Linked DNA regions of Drosophila melanogaster. The protein of the gene in region 2 interacts with the protein of the main gene of each other region in a biochemical or structural test. Each region holds a gene or a part of one and is shown on either strand. Other genes may lie near its edges.

Region 1 (10,275 bases), on a different chromosome or scaffold from region 2:
ATTAATCAGAACAATGGCGTGGTAAGTGCAAGCAATCGAATGTGGCATATAAACAACGACGAATGCTAATATATTTGAATTTGCAACAGGTTGATCATAGATCAGTTCAGATGTTGGCCAGATGGAGTCGCGAGTACAATATAAAAACGATGCTGCAGGAAATCCGTAGGATTATGACCATGAAAGAGAACCTGAAGCTGGCACAGCCGCCAGAAGGTAGCTGTTTTTAGTCGACAACATCCGTTAGCAACACCAGCAGCAGCTGCAACAGCATCGAATGCAACGCGAGCGGGAGCAGCATCCACACCCAGTAAGAGCCGGAAAACGAACCACCATCATCAGTCCAAAAGTCCAAGACCAAGGTGGCCACACGTGCGTGGAATTAAAAAGAGATTGTGTGGCGGCTGCTCCGCCGAGTTGCCATCGGTGGCAGCGTATGCTTATTAATGAACGTAATAAAGATCGAGTGCGGTTATTGTGGCAAGAACAACAACCAAATGCAAGCTATATACTATAAGTAAAGGGAACAGCAGCGAAAAATGCGATAGGAGCGTCACTATGAAGAGGTCGTCGTCGTCCCTTCCGTCATGAACTATGTCATCGTGTTTGGTTACCTTACTCTTCTTACTACTTCAACTTCAGTCCCCAAACAAAACGAAACGAAAATATGAGAACTTCTTTTGAATAAGAAATAAAACAGCAGCAAAAGAAACAAGTTAAATGCCTGAATGTTTCAGATTCAAAACTTCAAATCGAAAATTCGTAAACTAATCGAACAGAAAAGTAATGCATAACAATGATAACGATTAATCAAGATCACAGCGTGAGATCCGAGCGTAATTATTGTTTTTTTTTGCCTAAACTAAAAATTTATTAATTATATACATAAAGCAAAATATATATTAATTTAAATAAAACCAACATGTCGAACACAATTTTTGTAGACGGCGCCAGTACGAACGTTTTTTTTTTTTGTTTATCATTGATGAAGCGATTTTGTAGTTGATTTTATATTCTATTCTTTCGAAAATCTTCCTCCCGAATCGCTTGGGACGAGGGACGCGATTTATAATCATTGAATTGTGGAAATTATAGATATATATATATATATATAGAAACACACACACACTAAGCCGATGAGCAAATCGAGCGGACAGAACGATGAACGATGATTAAAATAATACTTTAATTTAAGCTTCTAAATAAAACAATTAATCCAATAAAACGTAGTGTATCCATGTAATCTAGTGGGGTTACTTAAAAACTTATAAACAAAACAAAATCAAGTAACAAATTGAAACATTTTGATGTCCCGCCTAGAAATGATTTTCCAACCAACCATCATTTCCGTTTATTTGTCAATTGTTTATTGTTTTAAATACATAATTGATTTATCGATTCTATACACAATCAATGTCACATTATCCATCAATCATTTCGCTAGGCTCCTGTAGTCTTTGTAGCCTCAATCCCCCGCTCATTGAATCTTCCGATCCGATCTTTGTTTGGTTACCATCAGTAGGTTACCAAGGATGTTTTAGATTTAGCTATTTAGTTTTATTTTGAATCGTTTGGTTGGCTGGCTCTCGCATATTGGGATAGTATTTGTGTTTATATTTTTCAGCGGAGAGAACATTGACTTGGTGGTTGCGGATGTTGCTTGTTCACTTGTGTGTGGTTTTGGTTTTTGCTTAAAATTGATTTATCTTTATTAGTCGGTAAAGCCGCGATAACACTGCATTTCTTCACACCATCAAAATCAAATTCAAACATTCTACTTCTCCTTGGGCACGAACACAATCTTCCGCGACTTGAGCGACGACCACTTGTGCCGCTTAATGTAATACGAGATGACGGTCAGGAAGCCAAGGATGCCAATCACCTTGATCAGCAGCTGCTTGCGATCGTCGTGCTCCGGCTCGGAAGTCCACTTCAGGAAAGTGGCCACGTCCTTGGCCAGCTGGCTCTGCGTCGGCGGTGTGCCGTCCTCGTACTCGATGACCTGGAAAGGGGATAATCATTAAAGATTGCAATCGTGTTCTCTTATATCGTTTTCAAATCATTAGTTTCTTTCTGAGAAGGAAAATATAGAACTAGTATTTGATCAGCCACCCACCTCGTTGTACAAAACCTGCGCCATGGAAATGGCACCGCCCGGGAAGTACGGGTTGAAGTACTGACCCTCGCGCAGCACCACTCCGGCAGGAGCATCATGGTAGCCCGTGAGCAGCGAGAAGATGTAATCCTCTCCGCCCTTGCGGGCCGACACGATGTAGCTCAGATCCGGAGGATAAGCACCGTTGTTGGCAGCACGGGCCGCCTCCTCGTTGGGATACGGCGATGGGAAGTAGTCCGACAGCTTGCCAGGACGAGTGTAGTAGTTGCCGGTATCATCGGGACCGTCCTTGACCTGTAACGGGGACATTCAAATCAATTAGGAAACATTTAGATCTAGAAATCTAAAAATTCGAATACCCACCGTGATCTGCTCGGCTTCAGCCTTAGCCTCGGCTTCGGTGTGGGTGACACCAACCAGATTGCGGTAGGCAATGTATTGCATCGAGTGGCAGGCGGAGCACACCTGCTTGTACACCTCGTAGCCGCGACGAACGCTGAAAGTAGGAATTGAGATGATGTTACTAACTGGATAGCAGGGTCAGTGGGCAAATGCCATCTTATATGCAGATACTACAAAACATTCTTTAATATCTTTAATTTTAACTAAAATCCCCATTTAACAATCCATTAATCTTCTATGTTCTGCTAGTTGCTGTTCTGATTAGCTTTTATGAGCAAAGTATTGTTGTTAATCTATAGTTGTTATCAGTTTTTAAAGATTACAGAAGATTTGCCGGGAAAATTGGCTACGTTTTCTAAATTGAATATGATATTTGTATTGGCGAGTTTGAGATAAAATAAAATACTTCAAACAAAATCTCTCTAATCATTAAAGAACTCTTTTTGAAATTTGACAGCAATCTAAACCAATTCACTAGAAATGCACTTAGTTAGCTCCACCACAGATGGAAATGCCCAGTTCCCGACCACTGATCAGTTTAACCGCCGTTTTTTGGATTACCTCTGGTGGTCCAAAGCGTCGAAGAGGCCCTTGTGGTTCCAGAGTTGCGCGGGGGAGTGCACCTCGCCGCCAGATGCCTGCACGGACTGCTCCAGGGCGTAGATAAGGGCGCCCACTCCGCCGGTGATTGCTCCCAAGGCGCCGATCAGCTGTTCGTGATGCACACACACGCACATACAGCCGCACACAGTCACCGAGAAGCAAACGCGTTTTGAGGTTAGGTCCGATCGGGTATTATGAAATGCGAAGTGGGGGAATATGTGAGATTCCTGACTAGCTGACTTACCTTCTTGTTGCCACTGGCCCAGCTGCCGGCGGAGGAGAGGTTCTTCGCCTGCAAAAAGAACGGATGTCATTTAGTTTGGATGTTCGGCCAAGGAGAGTAAGAATTTTTGCACGGAGTTACATAATTGGATTGTTCGGTTCGTATCCGAGTTCATTTAATCCCATTGGAATTGCGGATACCACTCACTGTGCCACCTAGAGTGCACCATTGGTCCTTGTATTTTATGTTTTACGGTATTATTTCATGTTTTTCTCCATCGGACACACGACTCCTTCAAGGTGCTGCGGTGGCTGTTGAAAAACTTGCATCCGCCGTTCACGATCTTTACCTGCTGCAGGCTGAGTGCTGGCGCGGATTTCAGCAATCTCAAGCCATGGAATCTTCGCAATGTCGCTGCCATGGTGGCCGGAGTTTTAATTTCTGCGTCGTCTGGTCGTTTAAGGAAACTCTGCGGGCAGCCAATCGCCAATCGAATCAATCTTTCAGTACCACTGCCACAACGTCTTCCTCTTCTTCGCTGCTCTCTCGCGGAGGTGGTGGTGGGCAACTCGCTCGTTTGCCAGCGAATCGGAATCGGCGGGGGCGATATTTTGGTATTTTTAAACAGATATTTTAATTTTATTTTATTATTATTTTTTTATTTACTGTATGATATTTATTTATAATATGATATTAATGTATGTATAATTTAAATAATACATTTAAAATATCACTTTTTATTTTTTTCTTTTTTAATAAATATTTGTTACACAGTGTACCTTAATTGCTTTTAGTGTTTTTTTTTTCTTTCATGTTCTTTATTATATCTTCGAATTTACGGTTTTCCAACTTGTTGATTCAAAATACTTCATAATCTAATTGGAACTACTTGTTGACATTAAGTTGGATTTTTTGATTTTTTAGAAACCACTTGATGATTTCATAAGATAAGTTGACAGAACAGCTCTAAAAACAGCTGCCTTAGCCTTAGCCAAATTTTTGGTTGCTGTTATGTAATTTTTCATGTTTCACTGCGCTGTTATCACAAAAAAAGATTTTAATTTTTATTATTGAATTCTTTTCGAAATATCTATAAAATTCTTAAAAGCCTTGAAAAAGGATTTTCAAAAAGTAAAAATAAGTACAATTATCGCAGTTCACAAAATAACCTTCGATTGCTTATATCACAGGTCAATATTATAATTTTATTTTTATTTTTGCTAATTGTTTTTATATATATATTATTTAAAAAAAAATATATAAAATTATTTTGTCTCACTGATGAATAGATTTTTCCGCTGGTCTGGCATCCTTCTCGCCCGTTTTTCGCACACTTATCGATAACAGCTGACCACCCGTTAATGATTCGCCAACAAAAAAAACCTAGCAACGCATAAACAAATGCGAGAAAAAACCCCCTTTATTGATTTCCACTAAGTGCGGTCAGCGCAAATAGTGGTTAATAGCTTTCACTAGACGAGGAATAAAGCCAGGACGTAGATCGCCATGCCGCAGGAGGAGGCAAATGCGGGAACAACGGCCCAACTCGATGACGAAATCGAGAATGTGCGTGTGGTGGTGCGAACGCGACCCATGGACAAAAATGAGTTGTCCGCGGGAGCGCTAAGTGCGATTTCGGTGGATAAGATCAACCGGGCCATTACGGTGATGAAACCGAATGCCACCGCCAATGAACCGCCGAAAACGTACTACTTCGACAATGTATTCGATGGTGGCTCCAATCAAATGGATCTCTATGTGGACACCGCTCGTCCGATTGTGGACAAGGTGCTGGAGGGCTATAATGGCACCATCTTGGCCTACGGACAAACGGGCACCGGCAAGACGTATACCATGTCGGGGAATCCGGATTCGCCGCAAACAAAGGGCATCATTCCGAATGCATTTGCGCACATCTTTGGTCACATTGCTAAGGCCAAGGAGAATCAGAAGTTCCTGGTGCGCGTCAGCTACATGGAGATCTATAACGAAGAGGTGCGGGATCTACTGGGCAAGGATGTGGGCAAGAGCCTGGAGGTCAAGGAGCGACCGGACATCGGTGTCTTTGTTAAGGATCTCAGTGGCTATGTGGTGCACAACGCCGATGATCTGGAGAACATCATGCGTTTGGGTAACAAAAATCGTGCCGTGGGAGCCACCAAAATGAACCAGGAGAGCTCCCGCTCCCATGCCATTTTCTCCATTACTGTGGAGAGAAGTGAGCTGGGCGAAGGTGATGTCCAGCACGTAAGGATGGGTAAACTACAGCTGGTGGATCTCGCCGGCTCCGAAAGGCAGTCGAAGACCCAGGCCAGTGGACAGAGACTTAAAGAGGCCACCAAGATTAATCTTTCGCTATCGGTGCTGGGAAATGTGATCAGTGCTTTGGTGGATGGAAAAAGCACCCACATACCGTATCGGAACTCCAAGTTAACTCGACTTCTGCAGGACTCCCTCGGTGGTAACTCCAAGACCGTCATGTGTGCCACCATTAGTCCAGCGGATAGCAATTATATGGAAACTATATCCACACTTCGCTATGCTAGTCGTGCTAAGAATATCCAAAATCGCATGCACATCAATGAGGAACCCAAGGATGCTTTGCTTCGTCACTTTCAGGAGGAGATTGCCCGACTTCGCAAGCAATTGGAGGAGGGCGACAGCTTGGAGGAGGAGCCACCGAGCTCCGAAGAGGAGGAGGATACAGCAGATGACGAACTGGAGGCACCACTGGAGATCGAATTGGAATCATCAACGATCCAGGCTGTGGAGAAAAAACCCAAGAAGAAGCGCGAGAAAACCGATGCCGAAAAGGAGGAACTGGCCAAGCGCAAAAACGAGCATCAGAAGGAAATCGAGCATGCTAAGACGGAGCAGGAAACACTTCGCAATAAACTAGTCTCATTGGAAGGTAAAATTCTCGTTGGCGGCGAGAATCTGCTGGAGAAAGCCCAGACGCAAGAGCTGCTGCTAGAGCAATCCATTGCGGAGCTGGAACAACATGAAAAGTCCGAGGAGGCGCTGAAGCAAACTCTACAGCAAAAGGCCACCGAAAGGATTGACATTGAGGAGCGTTACTCCACGCTTCAAGATGCCAGCACTGGCATTACCAAGAAGATACACCGGGTGATGCAGATGCTGATGGGCGTGAAATCGGAGCTGGCGGATCAGCAGCAGGAGCACCAGCGCGAAAAGGAGGGCATATACGAGAATATCAGGAGCCTATCCAGGGAATTGGCCTTATGTGAGCTGGTATTAAATTCCTATGTGCCCAAGGAGTACCAATCGATGATTAATCAGTATACGCACTGGAACGAGGACATCGGCGAGTGGCAGCTGAAGTGTGTGGCCTACACGGGTAACAATATGAGGAAACACATCTCGGCGCACAAGACGAGTGGCAAGGAGCCAGATTTCCTCGATCTCTCACATGTCTATCTCAGCTACAACACCGATGGCGTGTCCAATCCAATGCGCTCCAAATCCGCCAGGCCGCGAACCTCGGGTGTGCCCAGACCGACGACTGCCAGGCGATATTGAAGCTAGTGTTGGAAGGACAATCGACTGCTAGTCCAGCTGCATGTCCTCGGCGGTCTGCGCGTCCAATTTTGGTTTCTGCTCCTGCTAATCTTGATTTTCTACAGCCTCAGATTCATTTGCTCAGCGAATTTCCTTTTTGTTAGACCTTAGTTTTTGTTGATTTATTGCTTAGGACATACTTTTTAGGTTGAACAACGGTGCAATATATTTACTACTGTGTTTGTAATTTTACTTTCTAACTTATATTTATTTTATAATACTTACAACTAAGTAGTAACAAGATTTTACCCGATTAGGCACAAATATATAACTATTGTGTGCTCTTGGCTTTTAAATAAAAATATGATACTCACACGTAATTATTTTATATTCTTACTTCAAGGAATTATGCGTAATTTCTTTTTATTTTTTAGCAGCTTGAAAGCATGCTTTAAATTTTCCGGGCTTGCTGAAGAAAACTGAAATTTGGCCGACCTACTCATAACAGGTTCCATAGTGTAGCGGTTATCACGTCTGCTTTACACGCAGAAGGTCTCCGGTTCGATCCCGGATGGAACCACGTTGACAAAAGTATATATTTTTTTAAATTCATTATATGTTTATTAATTTTTATTACGACAGAAAACATAAATTCAAGTTTTTTATTCCCACAAAATACTAAATAATACTTAAGTAAAAACAACTGATTTTTGTGTATACTATGAACACGAAAGAATTATATATAACATATTATATACTTTTGTTTGCTAAAACTCCACTTAGTAAGCGTTTAAAAAAATAAAAATAAAAAAAAGTTACTTCCTCCTGGTTCCATCCGGGATCGAACCGGAGACCTTCTGCGTGTAAAGCAGACGTGATAACCGCTACACTATGGAACCAGATGCCAATCGCTTGACACAACGCAAACAAAGCACAGCGCCAAAAAAGGTTCTAAGGCAAAATGAAAAAAGTCAATCGTAAGGAATTTAAAAATCTGGGTTGCTGATAATTTAAAATTAAAATAAACCCAAGAATGTGAAAGCTTTAAGTCGAACGATAAATAAGAATGTCATAATTTAATAGTCCTTTCTTCTTTTTTTGATGTTCGTTTCGCTTAAATGCCGTCCGTTCAGGTGTTATTTCGATACCGGATTACTCATCCCACCTGCAGGGGATGCGATTGTTTGGGCAGGTAAGCCTGCGATAAGGAAAGCAAACTGTACTTTTATCCATTATTTATTTACCTTTGTGCGAATTTCTACGCCTGTCGCAGCTTAGATTTTAGGCTACCCAAATGAATCTGGCTGAAAGCATTTCCGCTTTATCAGTTTGCTCTTATCGCCGCACGTTTTGTTTGCCCATTTAGCTGCAGCTAGTTGCGAATTGGGGGGCGGAGCTCCACTCAGCGGACAGCGGTATCGCAGTAAGACGTCACGAATAACTGTTCAATTTACATATATTCACATTAAACCAATCTGCCAAGTGAAAAAGAGAATTGCGTTGCCAGGTGAAAGAAAAAGATCGGAGTGAAAAATCACCGAGAGCAAGGTAAAGTTACTCACTCCACTGGCAGCCAATTGAGTGGAAACAAATAACCGAAACACCAAGCTACAAGGAAATAGTAATCATGATCAATCATGAAGCTATCGGTTTTATTAGGACTTTTTTAGAAACTTGAATATCAGATAGCAGGTTCATTTTAATTTAGTATATATTTCTGTATAAAATAAACAAGATTCACATAGCATTTCATATAGACTATATATTAAATTCAACACCATATTCAAAATAAATGACTGTTTTGTTGTCGAGTGTAGTTGAGTGGTTGCTCTCGCACTTTCGGCGGACAGACCGAACCGAGCGATCGTAAAACTCTTCGGCCCCAGGCCCACAATATCAGTCTGTCCGCTGCGCATAGTCGAAACGGAAGGAAAATCGCTTTAATTCTCTGTGATCTGTGTTTGCGTGTTGAACTCGAGTTTTCAGTTCGTTGTTATCTGTTCAATTTCATTTGGATGTGCAATTGCCGACGCTAAAAATATATACGTAACGCGTGCAAGAAATTGAGAGTATTGCCCGACGCTCAACTAAATTACAAAAAAGAAATTTTATTTCATATATAAACGCCACGTTCTCGCGTTCTAACAAACTCCCCAATAAAAAACACACTCAAGCAGCACATTACATATACTCGACCACGCTGTATAATTAGTTACTAGCCGTTGATATTTCCAATACGCCGCATAGCAACAATAACCATATCAAACATTTCGATAATCTGATGTGACACAAGTTTTTGCATCGAAATAGCCGTGTGTGTGTGTGTGTGTGTGTTTGGTTCCCATTCGCCGCCAATCAAACCAATCGCATTGAGAGTGTAATCCGGGAAAAGTTATACACACCTAAACCTGCGCCTTTTCAATGTAGCCCTTCATGGATAATTAACACGTGAGCGTTGTGTGACTATATAGCAAAATCGTGTTAAAATCGTGTTCGCAGTGGCTGAATTTAGCAGCGATCCAACGAATAGTGTCATCTCGAACCCAGACACCCCCCACACCCCCTGCGAATTTCTCTTATTTGTCGGCGCGGAATTTGCCTGAGTCACGAGCCATTTCAATTTTCCGGTAAGTTGTCTTCGCTCTCAATCTCGATCTCATTCCGAAACCGAATCGGTAGAAGAGTGCTGAACTCGAGTGTTAAGTGTTAACTGTTAGTGAAAACACTTCCATTGTATCATTTATTGACCTCGAAATGCCATCGCAAAAATCAGGAACGCGTCGCAATATCTGTTTACCGACAAAAATAGGGTCAACATATTCCGATTGTCTGGGGACGTTTTTTCCCATCATTGTCTGCGATAGATAGACATATGTATAAGGATTATCTGGGGATCGGGGTTCGAAAGACGACGAGTCGCAATAGGGGTGACTGTCCTTTGAGTGAAATGGGTTTTCCATTTAAAAGAAGTGGATCTTGTCATATTTTCAAATGTAAACCAATTTATTCTGAGTTCAAAGAACTCATAGTTTGATCTTTACGCTTCTGGATTTCTTTGACATTCTTTAAAATAGATCATAGATTTTAAAAATAGATAGAGTGAACCATCAAAGCGTGTATAAATATATTTCGATGTATATTTGTTAAAAATATATTTTCTTCTTTTCCAAACTAAAATGTGCTATTTGTGTGAGCTGCTTTCGGCACTCAACAGTTTTTCACTAAAAGTTTAATTTCTACATATGCGAATTTTTTTGTGATATTTTTATTTTCCGCATACTCTTATCAAAGTTCAGAGGGGAAATACCAATGGTGCCGCTTATTTTTAGCTCTTGTCGCCTCTTCGGAAGCACTGATTAAGTTCCGTGAATGACTCTGCCGCTATCGGTTATCGGCTAGACTTTACCCCGAA
Region 2 (8,141 bases):
GGAAGGTTCCTCAAGCAGCTCCGCCGTCTGCTGGCAGTAGTCAACGAACGTCTGCAGTCCATATTTGGTCACCGCTTTCGTTACATTGTGGTTTAGTTGTATGGGATCCTGTACCACCATCGGTTTTTTCAGCTGGATCGAGCATTCAGGGTTGTCCGACACATATGCTGAATACCTAGTAGCAGGGAAAGTTTTTTTTTTTTTTTTTTTTTTTTTTGTAATTTCTATATAGCATTACATATTTAAAGGGCTTAAAGTTAAGCAATTAATATTCTCACCTAGCATGCAGCATCCTCTCAATCTTCGCGATTTCAACATTAGCCTGACCTATATATGGGCAGACCAAGAAATGCTCGTAGTCAAATTTGGCGAAATACGCAAAGAAGTTTCGAAGGAAGCCCTTGATGACGGGGACGGTCGCCTTTAATTGCTGCAGTCCCAGTTCGCTAAACGATTTTTGTGCAAAGTTGACAACCCACGCTGTAAAGAGACGACTTACTTGGTGAATCCCCCCAAGAAACCGACGATGTACTTACGACCCACGAGCACGGCCTGATTGGCTGCATCCTCTATCTGCAGCATGGCAATGGGGGGCAGCAGGGCCTGGAGCTGCAGGAAGTAAATCACCATCAGTGTAATGCTGTACGTCGATATTTGTTCAGTTAGCTTGCAGCGCTCCAGCCAGTTCTTTACATATATGCACATATATTGAGCTGCAAGGGAGCGAATGCAAAAAGATAACATGGACTCTATCCGGCAGCATGTGCTTACTCAGTGGCTGTGACTCAAATATGTATTTGAGCAGATTTGTATTGCAAAAGCCCATGCTGTTCAGACAAATGTCGCACTCGATACCGGTTGGTAAGTGGCACGTCTTGATGATGGGCACGCGAGCCTGTTCGATGAACTGTTGAAGAAAGTGCAATGGTAAAAACGAACGTATTGCTTAGGGACACAGCTCACATTAATAAGACGCCAGTCCTCGCTGTCGCAGAAGAACTTCCTCATAGCCCGCAGCTTGGCGACGGTAGCGTTGGAAGCTCGATGCTCGAACGTGTGAAATGTGTTGCCTGCCAATTCAGAAGCCAGGTGAAATTGGTAGGAGCTCAATGCAGTACTAACCCGACTTACCGATGTCGACGAAGAGGTCCAGGTCCGAGGATCGATTTCCAATGCCTGTGATGCGGGACCCGAACTTGTAGACTCGCAGTGGTTGTTTGGGAAAGCCCGGCGACAAAAGCTTGCACAGGTCCTGTTCGATAACGTCGTACTCGGGAATCACCTTTAACTTGTCCGCTATTGGGTATTTGTCCTTAAACACATTCGTAATCTCTCCCACAATCATTGCCCTGGCCTCTGCAATGTAAAAAGTATTTATAAAATATCGCTGGCTCTAAAGAAAACATATTAATCAAAGTATTGAGGCTTTATCAATCTAACATTTACAAGTAGTCAGACCACAATTTTTAGACTGCACTTCTGCGTAAGTAAATGAAATGAAATGGTGACCTACTCTTGGGTAGCCGTACTGTTATATGCTGACGAGCCTTCACCTGGGCCTGCTTTTTCTCCTGTTTCGTCTGATGCGTCGGATGCGGCTGGACTGGCTGATTGTTGGGATTGGGTTTTGGATGCTGCTCCGAAAGGTGGGCCACAGCTTTTGCGATGGTGGTGCCCACTATGCGGTTGCTGCAGGAACTACAGCTGAATGTTCGCTTTATTGTCTGCAGCTCCTGGGGCTGGACGAAGGCCACGCCCTCACCCGGTGCGGCCATCTCCTGCGGCAAAACGTATGTGGGATTCCTGTCCAAGTAGCTCTCGATGCCCACCATAATGCGCTCCAGCAGGTTGGCCAGGTGCGGGTCTAGCTGCGGCGGATTCGTCGTCTGGTTCACTGAGTTTAGGGTCTGCAGAAAGAAGTGTGCCTCCATGGTAAGCGGATTCATCTGCACGATCAGCGGGCTTTAGTCTAAAAATTCGAATGATACAAACTCGTACTCACGTAAAGCAGTTTGTTTGGCATCATCTCGGCCATCGTCTTATTCTTCTTCGTGGCCTTTGTTACCGGAGCGGCTATGTTGGGCGCGGTGGAGCCCGGAAGCTGAAAGGTTAATCGAATGCGTTAACTTTTCTGCAACTCGAAAGTTTGCCGCCTTTGTTCGACTGCCAATAACTGTTGATTCGAAAATTCGAATCGAAGCGGTTGAATTTCGTAGGGTGGCCAACTACACCAAAGTTCGCCGGCGGTGTATGCATGTGAGTGTGAGTGTGACAGTGGGTGTACGTGTGCTTTAAGCGACACAATCGCACCGCGATGTACATATTTTTGTAGAAATGTGTGTGCATTTTTCGTCCGGATCACGGCTCCATAAAATAAATCATATCACAGGGCTCAGGGATTTGTGAGTAGAAGTTCCCGCCACTTAAACGTCACTTGTGAAATCGCCATCGACGGTCAACTTTTACTCACACTGGTCTTCCGCGGACGGACCGTCTCAAAGTACTGCCTTTCTGCGTTGGAAAACATCGCCTTTTTCGTCCAAAAGGAGTCCCCAGGTTCGATCCGCATGGCGTTGTGCGTGCGTGCCTTTCTTTTCAAATGATTACGGCTATTAACTTGGGGGCGTTAAGTTGGAAACACGTAAATTGCAGACTGCGATTAGAGTGACCATGAGTAGGAGTTCAAAATCTCCTGACATCATTTTCTTAAAACCTGCTTTGTTTTTTACATTTCTATTTAATATAACTCCTATTTGAATAAAAAAACAAAACAAGTTTAGATGTTAAGATATTAACTACATCCTTTGCTCCAAAGGGAGAGGGGAAGTTATGGAGTTAATTAATTTGCTGTTGGAAATCAATATGGAGTCAGAAATATAATGATTTACTAAACCTTATTGAATCGGTAACGATGCGAATTTATATTAAAATAGCTTTTATGAAACATTCAACAAAAATATTATTAATGTTGGCCCACTTTAGCAACCGGTTAGGTCTACCGGTTGGGCAAGCAAAGATTCACGCCCTGGTTCGAGTCCCAACTAGTCCTGCAAAATACCGCAGCAAGTTTTAGAGAGACCAAGTGCCATTACCTCTCCCACTTCAGTTATCGGTTATGCGGCGTTTAAGTCGACAGCTTGCCGTCTCTAGCTCCGGTGCCTATATAAAGCAGCCCGCTTTCCACATTTCATATTCGTTTTACGTTTGTCAAGCCTCATAGCCGGCAGTTCGAACGTATACGCTCTCTGAGTCAGACCTCGAAATCGTAGCTCTACACAATTCTGTGAATTTTCCTTGTCGCGTGTGAAACACTTCCAATAAAAACTCAATATGGTGAGTACTTTAAAAAAAAATCTAGTGAAATAATGCTGAAAAGAAATTTGTGTGGGCAAAATTCAATGGGCAAAAACGCGATGCGGCTTTTTCTCAAAATGGCGGCCGGCCTGCGTTTTTTCCTCAAAAGTGATGACGTCATGCCTGTTTTTTTTTTTTGTTCGCAATGAGGAATGGCTCTTAAAATCTAGATAAAAAAAATATTCATTATTTCTATGCTGCTGGAACGCTTCATTAATCTTAAAAATTCTAAATTCGGTTACCATGATACTTCGACGCATAACTGTAGATTTTGGATAGAATTAAAGAGAAAATGGCGAGAGAGTAAAATTCCGGCGTCGGCAAAGTAGAGCAAAAAAATCAGTATACCATTTAGCTACCTCTCTCACTCGCACGCAGTGCCGGCTCAAGTTGGGCGCGGCTCTGCAATTATCGATTTTCTTGGGGTGTGTAACTAATCATCCGTTTTCCCTTCCTCCTCATCCACAGCGTGAATGTATCTCTATCCATGTTGGTCAGGCTGGTGTCCAGATTGGAAACGCCTGCTGGGAGCTCTACTGCTTGGAGCACGGCATCCAGCCCGATGGCCAGATGCCGTCTGACAAGACCGTGGGCGGAGGTGATGACTCGTTCAACACCTTCTTCAGCGAGACTGGAGCTGGCAAGCACGTGCCCCGCGCCGTGTTTGTGGATCTGGAACCCACTGTGGTCGATGAGGTCCGTACCGGAACCTACCGTCAGCTGTTCCACCCCGAGCAGCTGATCACTGGTAAGGAGGATGCGGCCAACAACTACGCCCGTGGCCACTACACCATCGGCAAGGAGATCGTCGATCTGGTTCTGGACAGGATCCGCAAGCTGGCCGATCAGTGCACCGGTCTGCAGGGCTTCCTCATCTTCCACTCGTTCGGTGGAGGTACCGGCTCCGGCTTCACCTCGCTGCTGATGGAGCGTCTCTCCGTGGACTACGGCAAGAAGTCCAAGCTGGAGTTCGCCATCTACCCAGCCCCCCAGGTGTCCACTGCCGTGGTCGAGCCCTACAACTCCATCCTGACCACCCACACCACCCTGGAGCATTCCGACTGCGCCTTCATGGTCGACAACGAGGCTATCTACGACATCTGCCGCCGCAATCTGGACATTGAGCGCCCCACGTACACCAACCTGAACCGTCTGATTGGCCAGATCGTGTCCTCGATTACCGCCTCTCTGCGATTCGATGGTGCCCTTAACGTGGATCTGACTGAGTTCCAGACCAACTTGGTGCCCTACCCACGTATTCACTTCCCTCTGGTGACCTACGCCCCCGTTATCTCCGCCGAGAAGGCCTACCACGAGCAGCTGTCGGTGGCTGAGATCACCAACGCCTGCTTCGAGCCGGCCAACCAGATGGTCAAGTGCGATCCCCGTCACGGCAAGTACATGGCCTGCTGCATGCTGTACCGCGGTGATGTTGTGCCCAAGGACGTCAACGCCGCTATTGCCACCATCAAGACCAAGCGCACCATTCAATTCGTCGACTGGTGCCCCACTGGCTTCAAGGTTGGCATCAACTACCAGCCACCCACCGTGGTGCCTGGAGGTGATTTGGCCAAGGTGCAGCGTGCCGTGTGCATGTTGTCCAACACCACGGCCATCGCCGAGGCCTGGGCCCGTCTGGACCACAAGTTCGATCTGATGTACGCCAAGCGTGCCTTCGTCCACTGGTACGTTGGTGAGGGTATGGAGGAGGGAGAGTTCTCCGAGGCCCGTGAGGATTTGGCTGCCCTCGAGAAGGACTACGAGGAGGTCGGCATGGACTCCGGTGACGGCGAGGGTGAGGGCGCTGAGGAGTACTAAGCGTCACGCCACTTCAACGCTCGATGGGAGCGTCATTGGTGGGCGGGGTAACCGTCGAAATCAGTGTTTACGCTTCCAATCGCAACAAAAAATTCACTGCAACACTGAAAAGCATACGAAAACGATGAAGATTGTACGAGAAACCATAAAGTATTTTATCCACAAAGACACGTATAGCAGAAAAGCCAAGTTAACTCGGCGATAAGTTGTGTACACAAGAATAAAATCGGCCAGATTCAGTGTTGTCAGAAATAAGAAAACCCCACTGTTTTTCTTTGCCTTTTCTTTCTCCCAGCGATCATTCATTTCGTGGTGAAAGAACGGGGTCATTGCACGGAGTTTCGACTGCGGGAAAGCAGAGCTGCCGTTCACTTCGTCTATAATTAGCGCTTTCTATTTTCCCCGATTCGGGCCGCTGCTGCGCTTTTCCGCCTGCTGTTTGTGGCAAGTGTAGCAGCAGGCTGTGCACGCAGTGTGGCATGCACTTGGCTTTCCACCGTTGGTATCGATTCTCTGGGACGATGAGTCATTCCTTTCGGGGCCACAGCATAATCGTTGCCAGCTCACCGAAATGGTGACTTCATTTCTTAACTGCCGTCAAGCATGCGATTGTACATACATACATATTTACATATGTACATATTTATGTGACTATGGTAGGTCGATATAATAGCAATCAACGCAAGCAAATGTGTCAGTCCTGCTTACAGGAACGATTCTATTTAGTAATTTTCGTTGTATAAAGTAATTATGTATGTATGTAAGCCCCATAAATCTGAAACAATTAGGCAAAACCATGCGAAGCTTCCGAATTTAACTACGAGTCTACGAGTTAAATATGTATGTATGTACGTATTGAAGTGACCGCGTTTGTACATACACATTATGTATGTACTTTGTGCAGGCCTTTAATGGGGGTTGATTTGCCAAAACGAAATTGGAGCCTAGGTAAACCGGTTGGTTGTTGTGTTGTACTTGTAAGTATGTAGACACATACATACATAATCCGCCTGCTCCGTTTGCGCCCAATGCGGCATTTTCATGAAACAGACCGAAGAGGCAGCTGCTATCGAATTTCCAGAAATACCCAGGCAAACGGGCAGGAAATGAAGCACGGGAGGCAGATGTGCTTGGAAAATGTGTACACTGTATTGACGAGAAATGCACAAACGCACACATTGCATGTAAGAACGTGCATACATACATATATGTATGTACATACATACATAAAATAGCATTTACCGGTAGAGACTGGCGCCTTTATTGAGGTTATGTCTGATGTCATTTGGTACAAATGTGCAAAGAAATGGGTCTTTTTTTTGCCGTTGAAATATAGTTTACCTAACAGCACGCACCTAAGACTATTTAAGAAACAGTTTCAGCCTTAAAATCACGCTTTTTCGGCGATAAATGCAAACAGTTGGCTTCATGAAATCATAGCCAGCTGCCAACGCAGATTTGGTATGGCGATATGACTATATATGTACATACATACGTACGTACATACATGGATAGTGTCAAACGCCAACGCATTTTTATAATGACGACACTTCGGAACCGGCTCACAGAGATCTGCTCAGAAAGGTGTGGGTGGATAAGGCGGTTTCGTCGGCGGTTTTATGGCCAGCAAGCCCCCACAATCGAGCTCTGATGAATACGGATGAATGTGTAAGCCGAAATGTTTGATCAATAAAGTAAAGTTCGGAAATATAAAATGCTTCGCTTTGCAAAATAAATAAGAATACAGAACACATACGTACATACATATGTATGTATGTCTGAACTGCAAGAGTGGCATTTTTTGCCACTCAACCAATTTGAGTGTCGGGTGCCACTCCCTTACGGGTACTCACTTATAACCTTCGTGTGTTTTGCAAGCACTCGGGTGCGCGCGCACCCGAATCATTGCGGAACTCTTCGTCGCGAGTGCCGAACACACTCGCCACTCAGAAAAAAGGGAAACAGTGAGAAAAAGGCAAGTACGCAAAAAGTTTTGAGTGGCAAAAATAGTCATAATTCGAAGCCAAAGAAAGAGGTCGCAATTATGGAAGAAAAGGCAGATATTATAAAAACTAAAATTTTGAATGGAACTTACTCGGTTGCCATTCAACGTAAGGGAAAGAGTGTGATTTGGAGCATTTTATGTGACATTTTAAAGGAAAATGGAACTGTTCTTGACGGATGGCTGTACTGCAGTAAATGCCGCAAAGTGCTCAAATTTGTACCTAATCACATTTCCAATTTATCCCGACATAAATGTTGCCTGACATTAAGACGACCAACGGAGTTAAAAATTGTTTCTGAAAGCGACAAGGAAGAGGCCATTGAAGTATGCACCCAATGGGTTGTGCAAGATTGTCAGTCGTTTTCTGCGGTAACCGGTGCTGGATTTAAAAATTTGGTACAGTTTTTCTTAAAAATTGGCGCAGTTTATGGGGAACACGTGGACGTCGATGACTTACTCCCTGATCCAACAACATTAAGTCTTAAGGCCCATTCGGAGGCAGAAGAAAAGGGTACTCTAGTCTCGGCCGCGATAAAAGAAGCTGTAGATAGTGATAGTGGAGGAACTATGACAGCAACGGCAGATTTAATTAAAAAAAAAATTATGAATGGAGCTTACACTGTTGCCAATCAACGTAAGGGAAAAAGTGTGATTTGGAGCATTTTATGTGACATTTTTAAGGAAGATGAAACTGTTCTGGACGGATGGCTGTTTTGCAGTAAATGCCGGAAAGTGCTCAAATTTATACAAAATCACACTTCCAATTTATCCCGCCATAAATGTTGCTTACAATTGAGACGACCAACGGAGTTAAAAATCGTTTCTGAAATCGACAGGGAAGAAGCCATTGAAAAATGCACCCAATGGGTTGTGCAAGATCGTCAGTCGTTTTCTGCAGTAACCGGGGCTGGATTTAAAAACTTGGTACAGTTTTTCTTAAAAATTGGCGCAGTTTATGGGGACC
Region 3 (11,225 bases), on a different chromosome or scaffold from region 2:
ATTTATCTCAGTTGTTATTATTTGTGCTTCCACAAATTTTTCCACAATATCTACATAAATGCTTCGTCCACATTCAGGCCGTGATCCATGGCCACCTTGGAGTCGTCGTCCAGCCCACCAGCTAACGTCAATAGATAGTCGGGATCATCGATTGAACTACTGGGGGGCGCATTGTACATCCTGCGGTAGGAGGCTTCGATGTTTTCGTCCAGCATTCGATCCACAATGTCACTCTGGACCTGTCCCGGTTCCTGGGACATTTTAAGCAGCAGCTCCGCATGACTGGGTGTCACTTGAGGCAGTTGAAGATCGGTGGCTGCTGTGGGATTTACATTTGCCCTTCGCTGGGCGATTTCCGCCGATTCCGCACCCATTTTGCAGATTGCACACCTGCTGCGAGAAATCTGCTTCTTCAGATTGACCAAAGCCATACGATCCTGCGCCACCAGCATTCGTTCGTGGGCCAGCTGTGCCTCCTTTTCCGCGATTTCCTGGGCCCGCTTGGCCATGACCTTAAGCTTGGCCTGGAGCAGCTGGTCCGCCTCCCTAGCCTTCTGCTCGGCCAAGTGTTGGCGACTAGTGGCTAGGCGGTAGGCGCCGGTGGCTTGGCCCAGTTCGTCCTCCTTGAGATTTAGGGCGTGCTCCTTATCCAGAAGATGGCGCTTGCGCTGCTCCATTTCGCGCTGCAGCTTGTGGTAGCGATCCCGCTCCTCATCCGCCCGCCGAATGGCTTCGCGTGCCACCTGCAGTTGGGCCTCCAGTTCCCGGCGATCTCTGTCTGGGTCGCCGTGCTCATTGAGCTGTTGTCTTAGTTCAATCTGCTGGCGTTCCACTGTCAGTTGATTGCGCTCCTCCTGGAGATCGTGGTGCAGTCGTTCCATTTCCGCAAGCTGCAGTGCTTTAAGATCCTCCACACGCTTCTCGTCCCGCTGCATTTGCTCGCGATGGAATTCTTTTTCGCGCTCGAAAGCCTTGCGCTCCGCTTCCAAGCTGGACATTCGTTGACGGAGCTGCCAGTTCTCTTCGGCTGACTCCTTGGACAAACGGCCCAGCTGCAGCTCCAAGGTGCTCACCAGTTCCATCAGGCGGCGCTTCTCATCGTCGGCCGTCTCCTCGTCCATCTTTAGACGCCTTTCCTGGTCGGCCAGGCGACGTTCTCGCGCCTCCAACTGCCGTTCCCTTTCCTGGTTGTCACTCATCCCGTCACGAAGTTCTTGAAGATTGCTGGACGCCAGACGCAATGTGTCCAGATAATTTCCATGATCCTGCACCGCCGACAACTCCACCATTTTAGCCTGACGAATACCCTCGAGGTCCAGCTCGTGGGATTGACGCAGCTTGCGCACCTCATCCTCATGATCTTGTCGCAGGCTGGAAATCTGCTCCACATAGTCCTCCTTCTGCTTCTCCAGTTTTTCGATGTAGTACTGCCGTAACTCGCTATTCTCGTCCTTGAGTCGTTTCTCTACGACGGACAAGTGCTCCTCCAGCACCTTGATTTGTTTTCTGGACATAAAATTAAATTCTCTTACTCATTTGCATTATTATTTCAGCAGCTGGTTAAAACTTACTTATATGAAGAATCTATCATTTCGATCTCCTGCTCATAGTTGACCTTCATGTTGGCCACCAGCTCATCGAGTCGCTGTTTCTCCAGCAGATTGCGTTTGGCATCCATTTCTAGCAGAAGCAAATGCTCCTGTTCCTGACTGGTCGCCTTGTGGTGCTCCTTCCTTTCCGGTTCCGGTTCCGGTTTCTCCACGAGCGGCGGTGTGGACACCACATCCTGTACACGCACTGGCTGCGACATCATCAGCTGGAGGTGCATGTTGATCCGCTCCTGCTGGCCTTTTATATGCTCCTCCATTTGCTGCTGTCGCTGCAGCTGCTGTTGGATTAATGCCTGAAACTTTCGATCCTGATCCTCTTGGCGACGCTGCATCTCCAATAGAGTCCGCTCTTGACTCTTCATTTGGGCGGCAATCACCAATTGTGCCTCCTGCTGCTGCAGGGCATTGAATTTATGGTTACTCTCCAGGTTGAGATTGCTAAGCATGAGGATATTTTGGGTGGCGGCAGTGACGACGGATGGGGCGGGCACGGCGGCCATTTCCGCCTCCTGCTCCATACCGTTCTCATCGGAGTCGGGCAGGCGCAGGATGTCGGCTGTATTCTTGGAAGGACTTTCACTTGAGGGCTGCGCCTTGGCGGTCTGCGCTTTCGGTGTTATCGGTCGCTGATCCGGCTCCTGCTCCAGACCCAACCAATCCGCGGTAGTTCCCCGTTTTTTCGAAACGGGAGTGGACATTCCCGAAACAGTAGCATTCGTATCCCTGCCAAAAAGGCCCAACGGATCGGCATTCATATTAATGGTGGCCGATTGCGCTGAGCTTCTTCTGCCGGTAGAAGTCTTGGGCCTCGCCTGCGAGTTGTCCGTGGTGGTGTCCGTGGATTGGCGCGACATGGATGGTTTGCTAGTGGCCGGACGTTTGACGGCATCTCCCGCCAGAATCTCATCGAAAATGTTTTTCTTGGGCTCCGCGTTGCTGGTCAACAGATCATCGAAAAGGCTCCTTTTGGTGCCGCCACTCTTGGGTCGTTTGGGATCAAAACCCAAGTCATCGTCCTCGACCAGATCATCATCCAGTGAGATAGATGGCTTCTGCTTCACAATTCTCGGCGTGCTGATGGCATTGGGTGTCTTTCTGGCACCCGTTCCCTGTCCCTGGACATCCGCCTCCGTCTCCTCCTGAATCCCAAACAAATCCTCCAGTTTTCCCTTGGGCTTCGCCAATTTGGCTGGCTTCTTGTGACCCACTCCCGCTGGCGTCTCAAAGAAGTTGTCATTATCCAGGCTATTATCGCTGAGCAGTTCAGCCAGTGGATCGTCGTTGAAATTCATTGTGAATAATAACCAATGGTAAAAAGTAAAAAGAACTATTGATATGTAAACGATACGGTTGCCTAGTAACGAATTTTAAATGTCTACAGCAACGAAAATAATCGAACAGGATAAAGTAGTCTTTAATATTAACTAAGGGATAGCGTAAAAAAATGTTTTGGGATTTCAATGACTACATAGTTTTTAAAAGTATGTTTAATTTCAGGTTTTTACTTAATTCCTTTGCATGAGAGCTTATAGCATTTCCAATGGAGGCTTACAGATATGAAACCTTAGAATAAAAATAAAATCAAACTAGCTTTACACCATTAATTGATATAAATTTAAATTGTTATAATTTTATTAAATTTTTTTAACGATATTAAAAAAAAACAAGTGTTCGAGGAATTGTTGGTATTTTGTAAAGCGTGGAGTGCGGTCACACTGCCGTTGAGATTGTTTTGATTTTTGTTAAAAAATGAGCAATATTTACATCCAAGAACCACCCACGTCGGGAAAGGTGCTCCTTAAGACCACTGTGGGCGACATAGACATCGAGTTGTGGGCACGGGAGTGTCCGAAGGCGTGCCGCAACTTTGTGCAACTCTGCCTAGAGGGCTACTACAAGAACACCGAATTCCACCGGCTGGTCAAGGGCTTTATTGTCCAGGGAGGCGATCCGAATGGCGACGGCACCGGCGGCGAGTCCATATACGGACAGCCCTTCAAGGATGAGTTCCACTCCCGACTCCGGTACACGCGTCGTGGCCTCGTCGGCATGGCAAATTCTGGAAAGGATGACAATGGCTCACAGTTCTTCTTCACATTTGCTCCGACACCGGAGCTGCAGAATAAGAACACGCTTTTTGGAAAGATCACCGGCGATACCATCTACAACATGCTCAAGCTGGAAGATGGCATTGTTGACCACCAGGAAAGACCGATGCACGCACATCGCATCGTTTCTACGGAAGTCCTCTCGAACCCATTCGATGATATCGTTCCTCGTATTCTCTCCCAACCTTCCACGAAGAGCAAAAAGACTAAGAAGGAGCGACAAGGAGTCAAGTAAGACTTACGTTCTAAATCGGAAACCAAATTGTTAACATACTACTAAGTGAAAACAATGAATGATGGCATAATAATGCGGCGTATCTGCAACGTATTGATTTATTTACCATACACTTAAACTGAAGTCTCTAAATACCTTGTAGTGCATTGCTAACGCTTCAATATAATCCACAGAAACTTCGGACTGCTTTCTTTTGGCGAAGAAGCCGAAGGTGACGAGGAGGAGACCAACGTCTATGTTAAACAGAACGCCGGTAAGGCGAAATCCCTGCACGACGTCACAGATGATCCAAAACTCAGCAAGGAGCCCATTCGTGTACCCAAAGTAGAAAAAGCCGACATCGAGGAGCACTTGTCCGACGATTGCCCTGAGGACAGTGTCAAGGATAAACCGTCCACTGCTAGTTCGGATCTCATCAAAATGAAACTGTCTAAGAGATCAAAGAGTGGAGCAGACAAAAAAGTTCAGCCAGTGGAGGAAAAGTCTGATTCTGAGGATGACGAGGATGTTTTGTTAACACGGGAGGAGGAACAAAGTCGAAAAGTCTCGGAGGAAAAGTGAGCTATACTTAAATAGGTTTTATCATGTTTCAAGTCATATAATTTATGTATTTTAGATCCAAGATCCGTGAGGAAATCGCTTCTCTGAAAAAGCAGTATCAAATGGATAAGCAGAGCAAAGACAAACTAGTTAATGGACAAGAGAAAGCAGCAAAGTCCAATGAAATCAAGGGGTCCAGCGAAAACCATTATATTAACGATTTTATAGAGTCTAAGGAGAAGTACACCGCCAAAGTAAAGCTTCAACCGAAGGGACAGTCAAGGTGGGATATATATAAATTTTATTCTTTTCAAAGATTTTACCAATTTTTTTAAACTTTAGAGAGGCATTTACATTGAGCCTACTCTCCAAGTTCCGAACGAAACTGGATAACTTGAAGCAAAAGTCAAGCTCTGATGATGGCGAATCGGAACCGAAGGATATAGACGATCGCGTAGTAGAACAGGAAATAATCGGCGACGATTGGTTGTCGCATACCTTAAATTTTAATAGTACGACTCCGGTTTTAGCTAAGGATGCCAATAAAAAGGGCGACGATTGGTACGATGCCTACGATCCACGAAATCCTCTAAATAAACGTAAGCGGGGCGAAACTGGCTCTAGTAAATCGAGTTCGGGTAAATCAAAAAGCAGTAAACGTGACTTTTAAAGAAAAAATAAAAAAAGATAGTTTCAATAAATATTGATGTATTTATATATATCGTAATTATCTGCTTGCGTATACTATTACCAAAAAACAATTACTATCTACTAAACTGGGTGGTAAGTTAGTGTTGTGCTCATTTCTCTGCCATTTTGAATTGCGCGGTATTGAATTGGGAGTACCGTATTTTCGCTCCATTTGGTGGTGCAACGTTGGTCAGCCTGGGCACACTGCACGTTTGAGCCAGACAAAGTTAACAGCAGCTGAGACAAAAAAGCGAATTCAAGGTGAAGTAATTGGCTTCAAAATAACAGGTAATAGCAGTTGATTGCCAAATCGATTTGCTCATTAGCTCAAGTGGCTGACTAGCTTCAAATTGTGCGTGCAAATCGAGCACAGAAGTGCCCAAATCAGAAGGTTGCGTCAGGAGGGAATTATTGATTTTATTCGTCATTTGTTTTCGGTCGCCACAGCTACTCGACTTTGTTTTTGTTGAGGCGGAGCTGCCTGAGTCACCACCACAGAAAAGAGCACAGTTAACACGGACCTTGTGGATCTCCGGATATTTGGAGATGAGTGCCAAGAGCAGGAGACCTGGCACCGGCAGCAGCCAGACGCCAAACGAGTGCGTCCAGGTGGTGGTCCGATGCAGGCCCATGAGCAACAGAGAACGCTCGGAAAGATCGCCGGAGGTGGTCAACGTGTATCCGAATCGAGGCGTTGTGGAGCTGCAGAATGTGGTCGATGGCAATAAGGAGCAGCGCAAGGTTTTCACCTACGATGCCGCCTATGATGCGAGTGCAACGCAGACGACGCTCTACCATGAAGTGGTCTTTCCCCTAGTCAGTTCCGTTTTGGAGGGATTCAACGGATGTATATTTGCCTATGGACAAACGGGCACTGGTAAAACCTTCACAATGGAGGGAGTACGCGGAAATGACGAACTGATGGGCATAATACCGCGCACATTCGAACAGATCTGGCTGCACATTAATCGCACCGAGAATTTCCAGTTTCTGGTCGATGTATCCTACCTAGAGATTTATATGGAGGAGCTGCGCGATCTGCTAAAGCCCAACTCTAAGCATTTGGAGGTGCGGGAACGTGGATCGGGCGTTTATGTGCCCAATCTGCACGCCATTAACTGCAAGAGTGTCGAAGATATGATCAAAGTGATGCAGGTGGGCAACAAGAACCGCACAGTGGGATTCACCAACATGAATGAGCATAGTTCAAGGTAAGTTTCGGTATAAACAGGCTATACGAATACTCGCATTTCATCAGGAATCCGAGGCTTTCGATAAGGATAAACTTTAGTTAATTAATTATCGTTTACTTGCAGATCCCACGCCATTTTCATGATCAAAATCGAGATGTGCGATACGGAAACGAACACCATCAAAGTGGGCAAACTGAATCTCATCGATTTGGCGGGCAGTGAGCGGCAGTCCAAGACAGGAGCATCAGCGGAGCGGCTAAAGGAAGCCAGCAAGATTAATCTGGCACTCTCGTCGCTGGGCAACGTGATCTCCGCCCTGGCCGAAAGTTCGCCACATGTTCCGTATCGTGACTCAAAGCTGACGCGATTGTTGCAGGATTCGTTGGGTGGCAATTCCAAGACCATTATGATTGCCAACATTGGACCATCCAATTACAATTATAACGAAACGCTTACAACGCTGCGGTACGCTTCGCGGGCCAAGTCCATCCAGAATCAGCCGATTAAGAATGAGGATCCACAGGATGCCAAGTTGAAGGAGTACCAAGAGGAAATTGAGCGACTCAAGCGGCTAATAGGTCCGCAACAGCAGCAACGCAGTGAAAAGCAGGTCACGGCCAAGAAGCAGCGCGTCAAGAAGCCCAAAAAGGAGACCGTAACTAAAGAGATGTCAGACTCTCTGCAGGTTTCAACAATTGAGCAGCCGGTGGAGGATGACAGCGATCCCGAGGGTGCCGAGTCCGAATCGGATAAGGAAAACGAGGCCGAGGTGGCGAAGTCCAACGAGGAACTGGAACGGGAGCGCGTCGAGAACTCAAAACTGGCAGCCAAACTCGCAGAATTGGAGGGTCAACTTGTTCGCGGCGGAAAAAACCTGCTGGACACGTACAGTGAGCGCCAGATAGAGCTGGAGAAGAAGCTGGTGGAGATCGCTGAGCGCAAGAAGCGTGAAATTGAGATCCAACAGCAGCTGGAACTGCAGGAGGAGACTACTCTGGAAATTCGCGAACGAAATGTTTCACTTGAACAAGAGGTGGAGCTTAAGAAGCGCAAGCTCTCCAAATGCTACGCCAAATATTTGGCTCTTCAGCAGGAACTCAACGATTGCAAGTCCGACCACAACCAGGATCTTAGGGAGCTCGAGATGGCTCAGAACGAGCTGGTCAAGGAGCTAAAACGCCAGCTTCTTATCATCGACAATTTTGTGCCCATCGAGGTCAAGCAGCGCCTGTACACGCAGGCCAAGTATGACGAGGAGCAGGAGGAATGGAAATTCTCTTCGATGTCGCTGCCCACGCCTCCTGGTGGTGATGGCAAGTTCAGCAGCAAGCGACCGGTATCGCATCCTCAGCGCAGAAGGCCCACCTCCGAATACGCTCTGCAGGAAGCCAAATCGAATTCACCGAGCTCTCTACGCTTCAAGAGCGAGAACATCGTGAACTACGAGCTGGAGATGCCGTGTCGCACCACCCAGGAGTACCGTACGCCTAAGGTGTCCGCCTCGCTGCAGGCGGTGCTCGCTCAAGCCATGCAAACGGGCGGAGATGATATAGACATCGTGGACTCGCACACAAACTCACTGCGCAGCCGTCTAGAGAACATTATCAACGCGAATGCCAATGGAGGAGCTGGACCAGGTGCTGGCGTCGCTGTGGGCAGCTCCATACCCAATGTTCGCAACATTAAGTCAAGCCGGGGGCTGCCAAGTGCCGCCTCAAATCTGGACTCGAACCGCCGTCCGCCCACGGGCCGTCTGCCGGCAAAGAAGCCAGCTTCGGCGTATCCCAAAGCTCGCGGCCTGGTCAACAAATAATCACAAACGATTTTAATCGAATTGAATTGCATCTAACCATTGTCGTGCAAACACAACACTAACCAAAGTATTTCATAGTCATCGCAATATGTACACCTCGGTACTTTTAGCCCAATCTACTCACATTTCACGCTTTGTAAAAGTTTCCTTTTGTTTTAAGTCATCTCATGCACTGGCCCTAGAATTATAAAGATTTTTTATTAATTCCACTTTAGTTAATGCCATATGCCTTGAGTGACTTGGCCAGTCGACCCCAACACGCTTCCTTAATTATTTTTATGTTTATTTGTTACTCGACTCGAATTATTGTTATTGATTTAAATGCAAACATACGTACGTTTTGTGTTCGATTAAGTGCAATCCAAGCTTGAGTTAAATCCAGCTGCAACTGTCTATTATTTACTTAGTAAATGATTTTTAGTTAATATTATAAACCAAATAAAGCAACTCCGTAAACACAAAAACACCTCTGAGTTAATTTGTTTTTGGGGATTGGAAAACTCATGATGAATAAGTACTACTACAACGTTTGTAGATAAATGCAGTTTCGTTTAATATAAATGCAATATTCAAAATACTGGACTCCATTTGATTTCCATTTTTCACTTGATTACTTTCAGAGAGCGACCGACTTCAATGAATGCATTAATTGCCCGATCGATTTCGGCTTCCGTGTGGGCAGCGGAGATTTGAACACGGATGCGTGCCTTTCCCTGAGGAACCACCGGATAGCTAAATCCGATGACATAGATGCCACGGGCTGAAATTTAATATTAGTTAAATATATATGTAGATAAAGGGATGATTAAGATTTCAACTAACTTAGCATCTCATCGGCAAACTGGGAGGCAAGACGAGCGTCACCTAGCATAACGGGGCAGATGGGATGGTTCTCGCCGGCTATGGTGAATCCAGCCTTTGTCATGGCCTGCCTAAAGCGTTGCGTGTTGCTCTGGACGCGCTGGGTGAGCTCGCTGGATTGGAGGAGCATGTCCATTACCTTCAGACCAACGGCCACAACAGCTGGCGGCAGAGTGTTGGAGAAGAGATACGGCCGGGATTTCTGGCGCAGGAACGAGATTAGCTCGGCGGGTCCAGTGGTGTATCCACCGGAAGCACCACCCAAAGCCTTGCCCAGTGTGGAGTTTATGATGTCCACCTCACCCATGACATTGTCATACTCCTCGGTGCCACGTCCAGTGGCGCCAAAAAAGCCCGTAGCATGACACTCGTCCACAAACACCAGGGCATTGTATTTCCTAGCCAGTTCAACGATTCGGGCCAGTGGTGCGATGTTGCCATCCATGGAAAAAACACCATCGGTGGCGATCAGCTTGAGGCGAGCATCGCTGGCCTTTAGCTGCTCCTCCAAGTCGCCCAGGTCCCGGTGCCTATAGCGCTGTTTCTTCGCCTTGCACAGACGGATGCCGTCAATGATGGATGCGTGATTTAGTTCATCGGAGAAGACCGCATCCTCCGGTGTGAGGATGGCCTCAAAGATACCGGCATTGGCGTCGAAACAGGAGGCGTACAGAATGGTATCCTCGCGCCCATGGAACTGGGCTATCTTCTTTTCCAGCTGCTTGTGTATATCCTGCGTGCCGCAAATGAACCGCACTGAGCTCAGACCAGCGCCATACTGCTCCAACAGCTTCTGGCTGTGCTCCACGATCTCCGGATTGTTCTGGTGGTGTTAGAGAAAGCTTGTAGGTGGACATCACTGGGATCGCAACAAGTTCACTTACCGCCAGTCCTAAGTAGTTGTTGGCGCAAAAGTTGAGTATCTTTTTATCGCTACCTTGCACGGTTATCTGAGTGCTCTGCGAAGATGTGATGATTCGCTCTGCTTTAAAGGTGCCTGCATCCTTAATCCCGGCCAGCTGGGTGCCCAGGATCTCCCTCAGCTGAGCCTGAGCCGCTGCGCTATAGTGGCGTCCTCCCACTGCGAATGAGTACGAAAATATATAGTCTTATTCTAGCAATTTATTTGGCTATTTAAAAGATTTTGTAGTATAATTAAGACACATATTTATATGTATTTAAAGAGAATTTGTCAAATTTTTTCACGTTACTTGTTACTTTAAATTATGTAAATATTTAAAAATTTCAAGGTGTTCAGAAATAGAAATGCACATGTTTCATACACATAGAGTAGATATATTTCCTATTTTCTTATCTATAAAGCGTTATTTTTTTTTCAAATTAAAGAAAATATAATTATAAATATTTGTTATTTGAAAAGTCATTTAGAAATAACCATATGGCATGACAAGAGCTTCATATATACGCTATACAGTCTTACCCCCACGAAAGAGCAGTGATTTGGAGAAAATTGACATATTTTCACTGATTTTTCCTACACTTTTCTATTCGCGAAAATGTATTTCTGGCTGACTGGTGTCCAGATCCGCTCGACGACTCGACTCGCTCTTGACTGAATAATAGCAACCAGGCGACGTGGACGGGCATGGAAACTAGTCTCCCTAGTTGGGGGCTCGAACTGCAAGCAGCTGATTTTTGTTTTCCACTTATAAATAGTACATATGTATGCCTATATATATATGTACATATTTACCTCCCTCACTAGCAAATACATGCCGGCTGGCTTTCATTTAACTAAATTGATTTAATTTACTTTCACTCTTGTTGTCATGGCGCGCCTTTTAAATAGCATAAACACAATGTGGATACTTAGGCGCAAATGTATCTGATATTGCAAATTGCTTCCAAGGTCATGAGCTTCGACTAAATTTAAGACGAATCTAATTCAAAGATTAGCTGCTAATAGTGAGCGAAGCTGATAGTGTAATGCTTATTGCAATCACTTTTACGAATGAAATAAATAAAAACAAAAAATAGTTTTATAACTCTTGATATTATATTTTGATATTATAAAGAAAAATCTTTTGAGTATTATCTTAAGTCGAACTTTAGAGTACATTTATCAATAATTATATGCACGAAAATTGAATTTTGGACTTAAATTCAAATGCAGTTGTAAAAACATTTTTTTAAATTATATAAATAAATTCAAAA

What was found.
Region 1: the proteins of alphaTub84B (region 2) and Klp64D interact in far-western blotting, tested with the Drosophila melanogaster proteins (one study listed by BioGRID).
Region 3: the proteins of alphaTub84B (region 2) and Klp68D interact in far-western blotting, tested with the Drosophila melanogaster proteins (one study listed by BioGRID).

What each region holds. Positions count from the first base shown.
Region 1 is NT_037436.4:5,353,830-5,364,104, reverse strand, and holds Klp64D (Kinesin-like protein at 64D), read left to right. Parts: upstream 1-4,712; 5' UTR 4,713-4,850; coding exon 4,851-6,884; 3' UTR 6,885-7,241; downstream 7,242-10,275. Other genes in the region: Uev1A (Ubiquitin-conjugating enzyme variant 1A), read left to right, coding at 1-21, 90-230; Cyt-c1 (cytochrome c1), read right to left, coding at 1,775-2,002, 2,117-2,410, 2,480-2,612, 3,080-3,228, 3,366-3,413, 3,694-3,765.
Region 2 is NT_033777.3:7,083,412-7,091,552, forward strand, and holds alphaTub84B (alpha-Tubulin at 84B), read left to right. Parts: upstream 1-3,187; 5' UTR 3,188-3,330; coding exon 3,331-3,333; intron 3,334-3,822; coding exon 3,823-5,172; 3' UTR 5,173-5,428; downstream 5,429-8,141. Other genes in the region: tailor, read right to left, coding at 1-175, 279-480, 537-713, 772-907, 964-1,070, 1,123-1,356, 1,514-1,946, 2,003-2,101 and 1 more. UniProt on the Drosophila melanogaster protein: Tubulin is the major constituent of microtubules, a cylinder consisting of laterally associated linear protofilaments composed of alpha- and beta-tubulin heterodimers.
Region 3 is NT_037436.4:11,790,228-11,801,452, forward strand, and holds Klp68D (Kinesin-like protein at 68D), read left to right. Parts: upstream 1-5,386; 5' UTR 5,387-5,471; intron 5,472-5,630; 5' UTR 5,631-5,729; coding exon 5,730-6,394; intron 6,395-6,499; coding exon 6,500-8,189; 3' UTR 8,190-8,648; downstream 8,649-11,225. Other genes in the region: twy (twitchy), read right to left, coding at 51-1,506, 1,572-2,902; CG10907 (uncharacterized protein), read left to right, coding at 3,360-3,949, 4,127-4,510, 4,570-4,776, 4,836-5,163; Gcat (glycine C-acetyltransferase), read right to left, coding at 8,792-8,949, 9,012-9,873, 9,935-10,131, 10,492-10,528. UniProt on the Drosophila melanogaster protein: Plus-end directed microtubule motor that may be used for anterograde axonal transport and could conceivably move cargos in fly neurons different than those moved by kinesin heavy chain or other plus-end directed motors.